2 linked regions of the Neurospora crassa OR74A genome follow. The protein of the gene in region 2 interacts with the protein of the main gene of each other region in a biochemical or structural test. Links are inferred from orthologs where the notes say so. Each region holds a gene or a part of one and is shown on either strand. Other genes may lie near its edges.

Region 1 (4,609 bases), on a different chromosome or scaffold from region 2:
ATCCCTCCAGCTCCAGCTCCAACGCGCCGAACGTTGCTATACCTCACGCAAGCGGACGACCCTAGCGCGCACCAACAGAGTCGAAAGCAGCCGCTCATTTCAAGCAGGCGCGGAGCCACTTAAGGTTGGCGGTGGAGCTGAGCTAGGGGTGGGTTAGAAGAGTGCCGTATACATGATGAGAGGAGTCGGAGGAAAGACGGGGGATTGGGAAGAGGAAAAAAGGCGGAGGGAGGAGAAAGGTATGGGGGGTTAGGGAAAGGGAGGAAGAGGAGGGTGGAACATGCCTGAAAGAGGTGAATGGAAGCGAGAATGACGATGAGGAGGAGAAGGAAAGGCAGGAAGGGAATGATACTGATGGAGAGAGTGATCATGACCGAAGGAGGAGGAGGAGGGGAAAGGCAAGAAGGTCTAGGGATGAGAAGGTGTAGGGGTTATGATGGGCGGGAGGCTATTGTTCTTGTGTGTTCATGGTGTTGTTGCTGAGGTTTCTTTGCGCCGAATGTCCCCCCCCCCCCCCCTTTTTTTTTTTTTTCATTTCATTCTCGAGTGATATTTGTTTCTTATTTCTCTTATAGGCAACCAGCCATTTTTCTTTGTCGACATCTTCCAAGACTTCATGATTTATGAGGGCAGGGCGGAGGGATGAACGACTTTTACGGTGATGAGATGAATGAGACAGGAAGATGAAGAGGATGAAGGGACGTGCCGGCTGCTTTGAGAGAGCTCAGGAACTTACGGTCTTTGCGATTGGTCGGTTGAGTTGATGATAGGACATCATAACAGATTCTGTCACCAAGTAATATAATGTTTGATGCCAGGGACGTTCAGCGGGATAGATAAATGCACTGATAATAATTCAAGAGTTCAGAGAGGCTGTCAGCTGTTTTAAACACTGGCATGCGCCCTGAATCGACAAGAAGACCACACTGTATTCTGAAGAGCTTCGGTGCGTTTTGGGCTCCTGTAGTCCGGGCATGTTGCCAGTCTATTACACCGATCTTGTTCAACCTGGAGTTAGCCCGTCATCCATGTAACAAAAGTCAACTATAACCACCTGGCCACCCTGGCCCGATATGCTTAAAAGGCGGAAGAAATCTCTCGATCATGACAAATTTTGCCGCTTGTTCCCCATTAGTATGAACCCCCACAGCAAGAAGAGACAGGAACCAGATCAAGTAATAGTAGTATCAAAGAGTCCTTTCCCATTTTGATGACGCACTTCCTTGTGCAGACCGCATTAGGGACCAAAACATCGCTGCTTCTTCCATCATTCCTCTAACCCCTTCCTCCCTCTCCTCCGCCTCCTCGTCCGTCTAGAAGACCCATTAAGTTTACGCAGCCTTCTTCGCGAACTCAACCCTAAGGATCAAATGTCTGAAACCGAAACCGTCCATCTTGGCGCAAGCCTTGACAGCGTCGCTGCGATCAGCGAAACTGATGAAGGCGAAGCCCTTGGCAAGACCCGTATCGCGATCCTTGGCAAGGAAGACACGAGTGACGCGACCGAACCGCTCGAACATATCGCGAAGCTCTTGTTCCTCGGCCATCTCGGAGACCTAAGCGTAGAAAACATGTTAGCACGAATCAGTCCCGTCATAATAACCCCTCTTTAGGAGCAGAACAGAGCAGCTTTTGCAAGTCTGTCGCCTACTCCCTCTTTCCCTTTTCCTTCTGCTTCTTCTTCTTCTCCACCACCACCACCACCTCCTCCTCCTCCTCCTCCTCCGCGTCCTTTTGGGGGACACTAGGGGCAAACGTACGTTGGTAACTCTGAGAGTGGCGAGATCGTCGCGCTCGCCGTACTTGCCGCCCATCCTCTCTCCAGCAGCCGCGGCCCCACCGGCACCACGCAGCGCAGGTGGCACGTACGAGCCCTTCTTGCCCGCGCCCGCCGCACCCTGGGAAGCGGCAGCAGCCTCGTCAGCAGCACTGGCGGCGACGTCGGCGGCAGCGCCGGCCTCGCCGATGGGGGCCATGGTGTCCTTGTAGGGACAGCGGGCGGTGAAATGCTCGCCGTTGCAAATACGGCACTTGACCTTCTTGTCCTTCAACTTGTCCTTCATGGCCTGGGCGTTGGGGTCCTTGCTCTCATCCTTGGCTTCCTGGCGCCAGTTGAAGGAAGGCTTGAAGATGATGTTCTCGCCGACCGAGGTGGTGTCGGGGGCCGGGCCGGCGCCGTCCTTGACGCTAAGGCCGAACTTGGTCCACGACTTGCGCTCAGCGACGCGGGGGTTGACGACCTCACGGTGGGTGATGTAGCGGATGCGTCGTGTGGTCTTGACCTTCTGGCCGTTGTCGTTCAGGCGGTACTCGATGATGGTCGTGCTGCCATCCTTGTTGGTGATCTTCTGAGGGGGCGGGAGTTCGGTGGAGGTCTCCTCGAGCTCGTCATCGTCGGCCCAGTCGTGCCTGAATGGTCGCGAACTATGTTAGACTCTTACTCTCCGAGAAATCAAATGCATACGTGTTGGGTTGTGAAGCACGCCGGAAAAATGGCAATCGGGGGAATCGGGGGCGTGGATGCAGACGGGCGTTTGCTGTCGAGGCAAGCGGAGGAGTACTGACTTCTGTTGAACGGCAGCCATCTTGACAGTATGTGGTTGTTTTGATTCCGCAGGTTCGGCTCGTCTGGTGATGGGTGCGGTGGATGACTGAAATGGCCGTGGGTTGTCGTCGCGATGGGTTGACGTTGCGCTGGTTTGGCGGCGATTTTTGGTGGGGCTCAAGTTTGAAAAGCCAGGGCAGTTTTCCCCCCCATTTTTTGGAGGTGGGAATTTTTGGATATTTGAGTGTGGGGCAAAAATTGTCTTGCTGACTCGGCTTTCACTCAGGAAATCAGCCCTGTTTGGCAGCTAACGGTGCTCTATCCTACGTACAATATCAAGGCAGCAGATTCGCACATGACAGCCAATACGGCTCCCTACAAACGAAGCTTCGTTCTTTGACAAAGCAGGACTGGTCGCATCCAGACGTATACGTTGAGGTGTTTTGCCCCTTCTTTCATTATCCGCTTTGGGTTGCTTCCACTTCGCATCCATTAGTGGGGGCATCACAGGCATCACAACCCTAACCCGAACGTTGCTCCTCCAGGCCTACCAGGGGCAGGGCGCGGCGCCGCAACATGGAGCTAGCTCAACTCTCTCGACACCAGGACGTGTTGTACATAGTAGGTACCTTTGTTTGCAAGTTGATGGCTGGCACCGAGGTTAAAGTTTGAGAGTTTGAACTCGATTCAGATTTCTCCAAGCATCCATATCTGATGCTCTAAACTCACTGCTATCTAAGTTGGCCACGGAGCCTGCCGGGCACCAGCTTTCTTCTGACTCTGTGACCCCCCTCCTCCGATTGAGAATCGAAAACCACCCCGCCCTTCATGCCCACCACACTCACCTCCTCAATTAATCACCTACATACACAGTAGGTACCCCAACATTACATAATACAAGGTATATGGCAAAAAAAGACAAATCCCGCACCAAATCGACCTGACAAAGGAGATCGTTCACACGTTACGTTCCGGATGTCGCCGGTGGTATAAATGTACCCTCATCACCTGGGTATCCAGTATCTTGCTTCCTGCATCCTTATTCCATCCATCTAACCGGTATCTTGTTTTTCGACTGAACCCGACCTTGAAAAAAGAGAGACAAAGGAAATGGTGACGGAGTCAATCAGCGGTTCGATGGCGGTTTATCTCTATCAGTTGAATCCCCAGGCGCCCTTTGCTCTGCAAGTATTGTCGCTGACAGATACTCGGAAACTTCAGTGGTCGTGCTTCCTAGACGTCCAGAAATGGCGATGCGTTGAATGATGGTATGGCGCCAGATACGAGTAAATGCAAATCACAGCTCAAGGTGAATATGCTGAGTGACAGACTTGAAGTGACGATTTTCTCGGGATTGGAGGAAGGGCACGATTCGGCGGGGGAGCAGGTGGGGGACCTTCCGCCAGCTGTGTCTTATTCCGTCGCGAACCCAAGCCGCCGTTGGCAACCGACAAAGACCTAAAATGGGGCGCGGGTCTCGAGCCCTGCTTCGAAAGTGAAGTTGAAGATATCTGGGGAAGGTCGCCGAGATCGTCACCGAGGTCACTCAGATCAAGGAAACTGCGATCAGGTTCGCTTGACCTTTCTGACAGCTGAGACTGCAGACTAAATCTTCTATCGGCGCGCTTCGATGGGCTACCTGGGTAATCGCCGACGGACGGAGTGGATCTGAGCATGTCTTGGAAAGCCACTGATGATGGAGGAGCATAGCCTGACCTCTTTTCAGGGCTACCATGTGTGACAGGTTGTGTGGGAGAGAGATTCTCCCAGTCCTCGCCGCTGTCACAACGTTGCTTGGTTGCGTCCGGCAATCCCCAAGACGAGAAAAGGGACTCCGGTTCCGGTGCTGTCTCATCAGCTACTTCGATTGAAACACCTTTCCTATCAAGCGACGGCGATTCAGGCGACGGTTGATCCACCACAAAAGAGAGCGGGCGTGAGTTGAGGCACAGAGCCGAGGGCGGGGGTCTCCGTGAACCGCCGCGCATCTGACAAGGTAGCGGAGGAGGTGGAGAAGATGGTTCAACTTCCTCTTCCGGGAGGGATTTTGTTGACCTAGTGAGC
Region 2 (4,076 bases):
AGATATGAAAGAACCCAGTTCATTTTATTCACTGTACCCTCAGATGACCTTTTCGAAAAACGGGGAAAAAACGGTACGCCATGTAACTTCACAACATATCAAACTACTGCCGCCGCCTATTCGCACATTTACTGAACGATCTCCTCGGTCTCCTCCAACACCTCCTCCATGATCTCCTCGATGACCTGCTCCTCCTGGTCGGTGGCGAGCTCGGGGGTCTTGGCCTTGATGAGGTCGGCAACGGGATCCGCCGGAAGGCCGTAGATCTCGCGCTCCTCGGCAACCTCCTGCCTGATGGCCTCGCGCCAAGCGAACCACTCCTCGAGGAGGCGGCGGCGGGCCTCGACAACGGCAACGTCGGCGCTGCTGATGCGCTCGGCGTCTTCCTGCTCGAAGATCCTCGAGTACTCGCGGAGGTTGCGGCGGATGGCCTTCTGCTCCTCCTTGCTAAGGAGGGTAGCGGGGCGCGGCCTCCACTGGAACTGCTTGAACTTCTCGATAGCCTCCTCGCGCAGCTGCTCACCCTTGAAGTCATACAGATGATATCCGTTCTCCATCTGTTTTTGTTTCACGTTAGCGATTTCTGCTGCACGTCATCTTGATTTAATACCAATGATACTTACAGAGTGCTTCCACGCGGAAGCCCAGGTGGCAACGAAGCGACCCGAGGGGTCCCACTCAACGTCGGTGACACCGTAGTGGTCAGCGGTGTTCATAAGCTGAAGGTTGGCGGTAAGGTCCTTGTCGGACTCGGGCTTCTCGCCCTCAAAGTCGAGGTCGTAAAAGTCGAGATCAGAGCTCTGAGTGTTGGCAACAGTGGCAACGACCACAAAGCGTCCCTTAGGCGACCAGTAGATGGCATTGCTGTTCTTCTTCTCGAGAGTGCGGAGGTGCTTGAAGTTTCCAACAGCATTGCCCTTGGCCTTCTCAGGGCAGAAGAAAGCGACCGACGTCTTGGGGGGAACCGCGGTGGCACCGACAGGCTCGGTGGTGGTGATGATAACGAACCTGTCGCCCTTGGGCTCCCAGGCAAAGTTTATTACGGTATCCTTGATGGTGTCGACAACTTCCACAGGGACTCCCTTCTCCTTGACACGGAAAATCTCAAGAGTGGTAGCCTGAGACTTTTTGGACTTGGAGTGACGGTCAACCTTGACGCACAGATAAGCACCCTCGGACTGCCAGTGGAGCTTGGCATCCGAGACGCTGAAGAGGTTCAGTGACCTGACAACTTGCTTGGAGGGGATGCTCATCAAGCCGACTCTGGCGGGGTTGCTGCCAATCTCAGGGGTCCAGAAGCAGAAAAGTTGCTCGTAGGACTTGACACCGTCGCGCTGCACGGTGGCGGGAGCCCAGTCAAAGTCCACAACGCCCTCGATCTTGATGGCGGTCTTGTCCAACAAGTTCATCCTCGGAAGCTCGTAGACGGAAATAGACTGGCCGGGGTTCAGCCTGGCGACGTACTTGTCATCGGCAGACCACTTGAAGGCGGGCCAGGGGAACTTGGGGGCCTTCTTGGGAGCCTCGCCCTCGGCGGCGGCGGGGGTGTCGAGCTGGGCGAAAGAACGAAGGGGCTTGGAGGTCTCGATATCCCAGATAACGTAGTTCTTGCCGTCGTCTTCTACAGAAAGAGCGGGGTGACCCTCCTCAGGAATCGAAATCGGCCTGTTGGACCAGGTGACAAGGTACTTTTCGTTGGGAGAGAAGGCGACAAGGTTGACAAAAGGATGGGCAAAACGCCTTTGCCTGGTCCACGAGGGACCACCCCAAAGCTGAACACCCTGGGCGTGGACGGAGGTAAGGTAGGTACCGAGGGGCGACCACTGCACAAAGGTCTCGGTCCAGTGTTGGCGGTCAACAATATTCTCGGGCGTATCCTTCTCGTTGTTCCAGAAGACACCAACGGACTCTCCCCTGAACATGACAAACTGATCTCTGCCGCGGCCGCTGGGGTCGGCCATGAAGGAGCGGAGGTGCTCCTTCTCCTGGAACTCCTCGATCTTGGGAGGAGTGTACTCGTCATCGATACGGCCCTCGCGACCATAGCGGTCGACATCGGTAAGCTTGTTGACGCGGAGGGTGTGCTTCTTGTCGAGGGGGACGAGGTCGAGCTGTCTGCAGGCGGCAGCGGCCTCGGCGGGCGACGAGTACTCGACAAAGGCGAACCTACAGAATTCATATCAGTGGCCTGGTCGGGGAGCCAACATGCACAGCATAGGGACACATCGCGGTTCGGGCGCGGCGATGGATGGCCGGTCTGTAGATGCGCATCATTTTGAAGGCGGCGGCTGTGTTGCATACCTCAGCGACTTTCCATCCTCGCCCATGGGCATGAAGATGAGGTCCTCCCGGGTCTTGCCAACCGTGTTGAGCTTCTTCAACAGGAACTTGACGAGCTTGGGTTTTTGCTCCTCGTTGACCTCGGGGAGGCCGTCGACAACGACAAAGGCATCGTAGCCCTGCTCAAGCTGAACCTCGTACTTCTCGCGGATATCGGAAATGTCGACCTCATCAACATCGAAGTCATCCTCGTCGAGGTCCTCGTCGCGGAGGTGGTCGAAAGAGGGCGCCATGCTGGGCAATTAATCGGCAGTCTGTTATGCTTGGTGGGTGCCGGGGATTAGTGGTAGCTGGCGATGTACGGGTCGGGAAGGCGCCTCTGGTGGTGGTGGTGGTGGTTGGACTTGGTGGATGACGGGATTCTGGGCTGGCCGCTTCGGATTTTTTCTGCGATGCCGCGGGCGGAACAACGTGCTGGCTTATGCGGTCGTCAGGATTATTGTGAGAATTTGTGCGCAGCGCGCAGATTGTGGTGGGGTTCAGTGAGAACGGCCAGAGAACCAGGGAAGACAGTGAAGGGAATGCCCCACTTTAGGAGGCAATAATGCACGTTGATTGGCTACCCTACCAGATCCCCTCTCTCTGGAATCGCCAAAATGGGAATTTATGTCAGTGAATGCAATGATGGGGTGGATAGTTTGGAGGTTAAAGAAGACGGAGCCTCAGATATCATGGATATTGCACAGTCGCAATGAACACTCAGCCTGGGAAAGTCAAGTTCTCGATGCTGTCTCTATTCTTCATCAACTACAACTTTTTCGGTTTCCTTTCTTTTTAACAAAATGATGGCGGCAGGCAGTGGGCTAAGCATTGTTCGTTTGTGCACGGAACCAATATTGACCATGGCAACGTCTGTCCGCTTTCAGCAGAGTTTACAGGTTTCAAGTTGCCATCACTTTGAAGTCAAGAAGTGGACTGAAGGTTGCGGTTCGTTCGTTGCACCGACTCAGGTTCCCTTTCCTCTTGGCTTTGAGCCTCGACGGTAGTCCCCTGGGCTCCTCGCTTCTCAAAGTGCTGGCTGCGCTGTCCACCACTATCCACCGCCGCCGCCGCCGCTGCCAGCCCAAAGCTCCCCTCCCCCCCCCTTTCTTCCTTCCCCACGGAAGACGTCCAAGTGGGGTCCCCTGCTGCCCACTCACCTCAAGTGGACATTTTGTCTGTCAAAGGAGGGGCAGACGGCCTGGCATGCGAGTGACAAGCATTTTATGCCACCTGTCGCAGGCGGTGAGGTAAAGGAGGAACAGGAAGCTCTGGAATTTTGCCGTGGCCTGCCGTCCAAAAAGTGCCTGGAATTCAGAAGAGCATCATCCGTCCCGCTGCTGGCAGATTGTTGTAGAAAGGAGGCTTCGCGTTCAGGGTATCCATAACGTCCACCCAAAATATAGTACTACCAAGCTTCAATTGCTTCTTCTTCTCTTCCAACCTCAACCCCCTGTGCACCCCGTATCCCCGACCTTTTGTCTAATACTTAAGCTTCTTCTACATCATGGCAAGTTGATTTGTACATCACTTTGGGCATCTTTCCGAGCTCACCGTAACTAACCAACCGCCTGACCATCTCCAGGCCTCGTTTAGCCCCACCCAGATCTTCGAGGAGGGCACCACAGAAGAGAAGGGAGAGAATGCCCGTCTCAGCGCCTTCGTCGGCGCCATTGCTGTTGGCGACCTCGTCAAGAGCACCCTTGGTCCCAAGGGCATGGACAAGATCCTCCAGTCTGCGTATGCTTGTTCACCAA

What was found.
Region 1: the proteins of un-10 (region 2) and NCU08046 form a complex in vitro, tested with the Saccharomyces cerevisiae proteins (4 studies listed by BioGRID, with this or other methods). The link is inferred for Neurospora crassa OR74A from reciprocal best matches to the Saccharomyces cerevisiae genes PRT1 and TIF35.

What each region holds. Positions count from the first base shown.
Region 1 is NC_026504.1:4,018,097-4,022,705, forward strand, and holds NCU08046 (eukaryotic translation initiation factor 3), read right to left. Parts: upstream 2,973-4,609; 5' UTR 2,903-2,972; coding exon 2,877-2,902; intron 2,821-2,876; coding exon 2,566-2,820; intron 2,410-2,565; coding exon 1,761-2,409; intron 1,557-1,760; coding exon 1,332-1,556; 3' UTR 818-1,331; downstream 1-817. Other genes in the region: NCU08047 (hypothetical protein), read right to left, coding at 3,850-4,609. UniProt on the Saccharomyces cerevisiae protein: RNA-binding component of the eukaryotic translation initiation factor 3 (eIF-3) complex, which is involved in protein synthesis of a specialized repertoire of mRNAs and, together with other initiation factors, stimulates binding of mRNA and methionyl-tRNAi to the 40S ribosome.
Region 2 is NC_026507.1:3,330,318-3,334,393, forward strand, and holds the start of un-10 (eukaryotic translation initiation factor 3), read right to left. Parts: upstream 2,801-4,076; 5' UTR 2,574-2,800; coding exon 2,302-2,573; intron 2,167-2,301; coding exon 624-2,166; intron 558-623; coding exon 129-557; 3' UTR 1-128. Other genes in the region: NCU02207 (T-complex protein 1 subunit beta), read left to right, coding at 3,827-3,829, 3,905-4,059. UniProt on the Saccharomyces cerevisiae protein: RNA-binding component of the eukaryotic translation initiation factor 3 (eIF-3) complex, which is involved in protein synthesis of a specialized repertoire of mRNAs and, together with other initiation factors, stimulates binding of mRNA and methionyl-tRNAi to the 40S ribosome.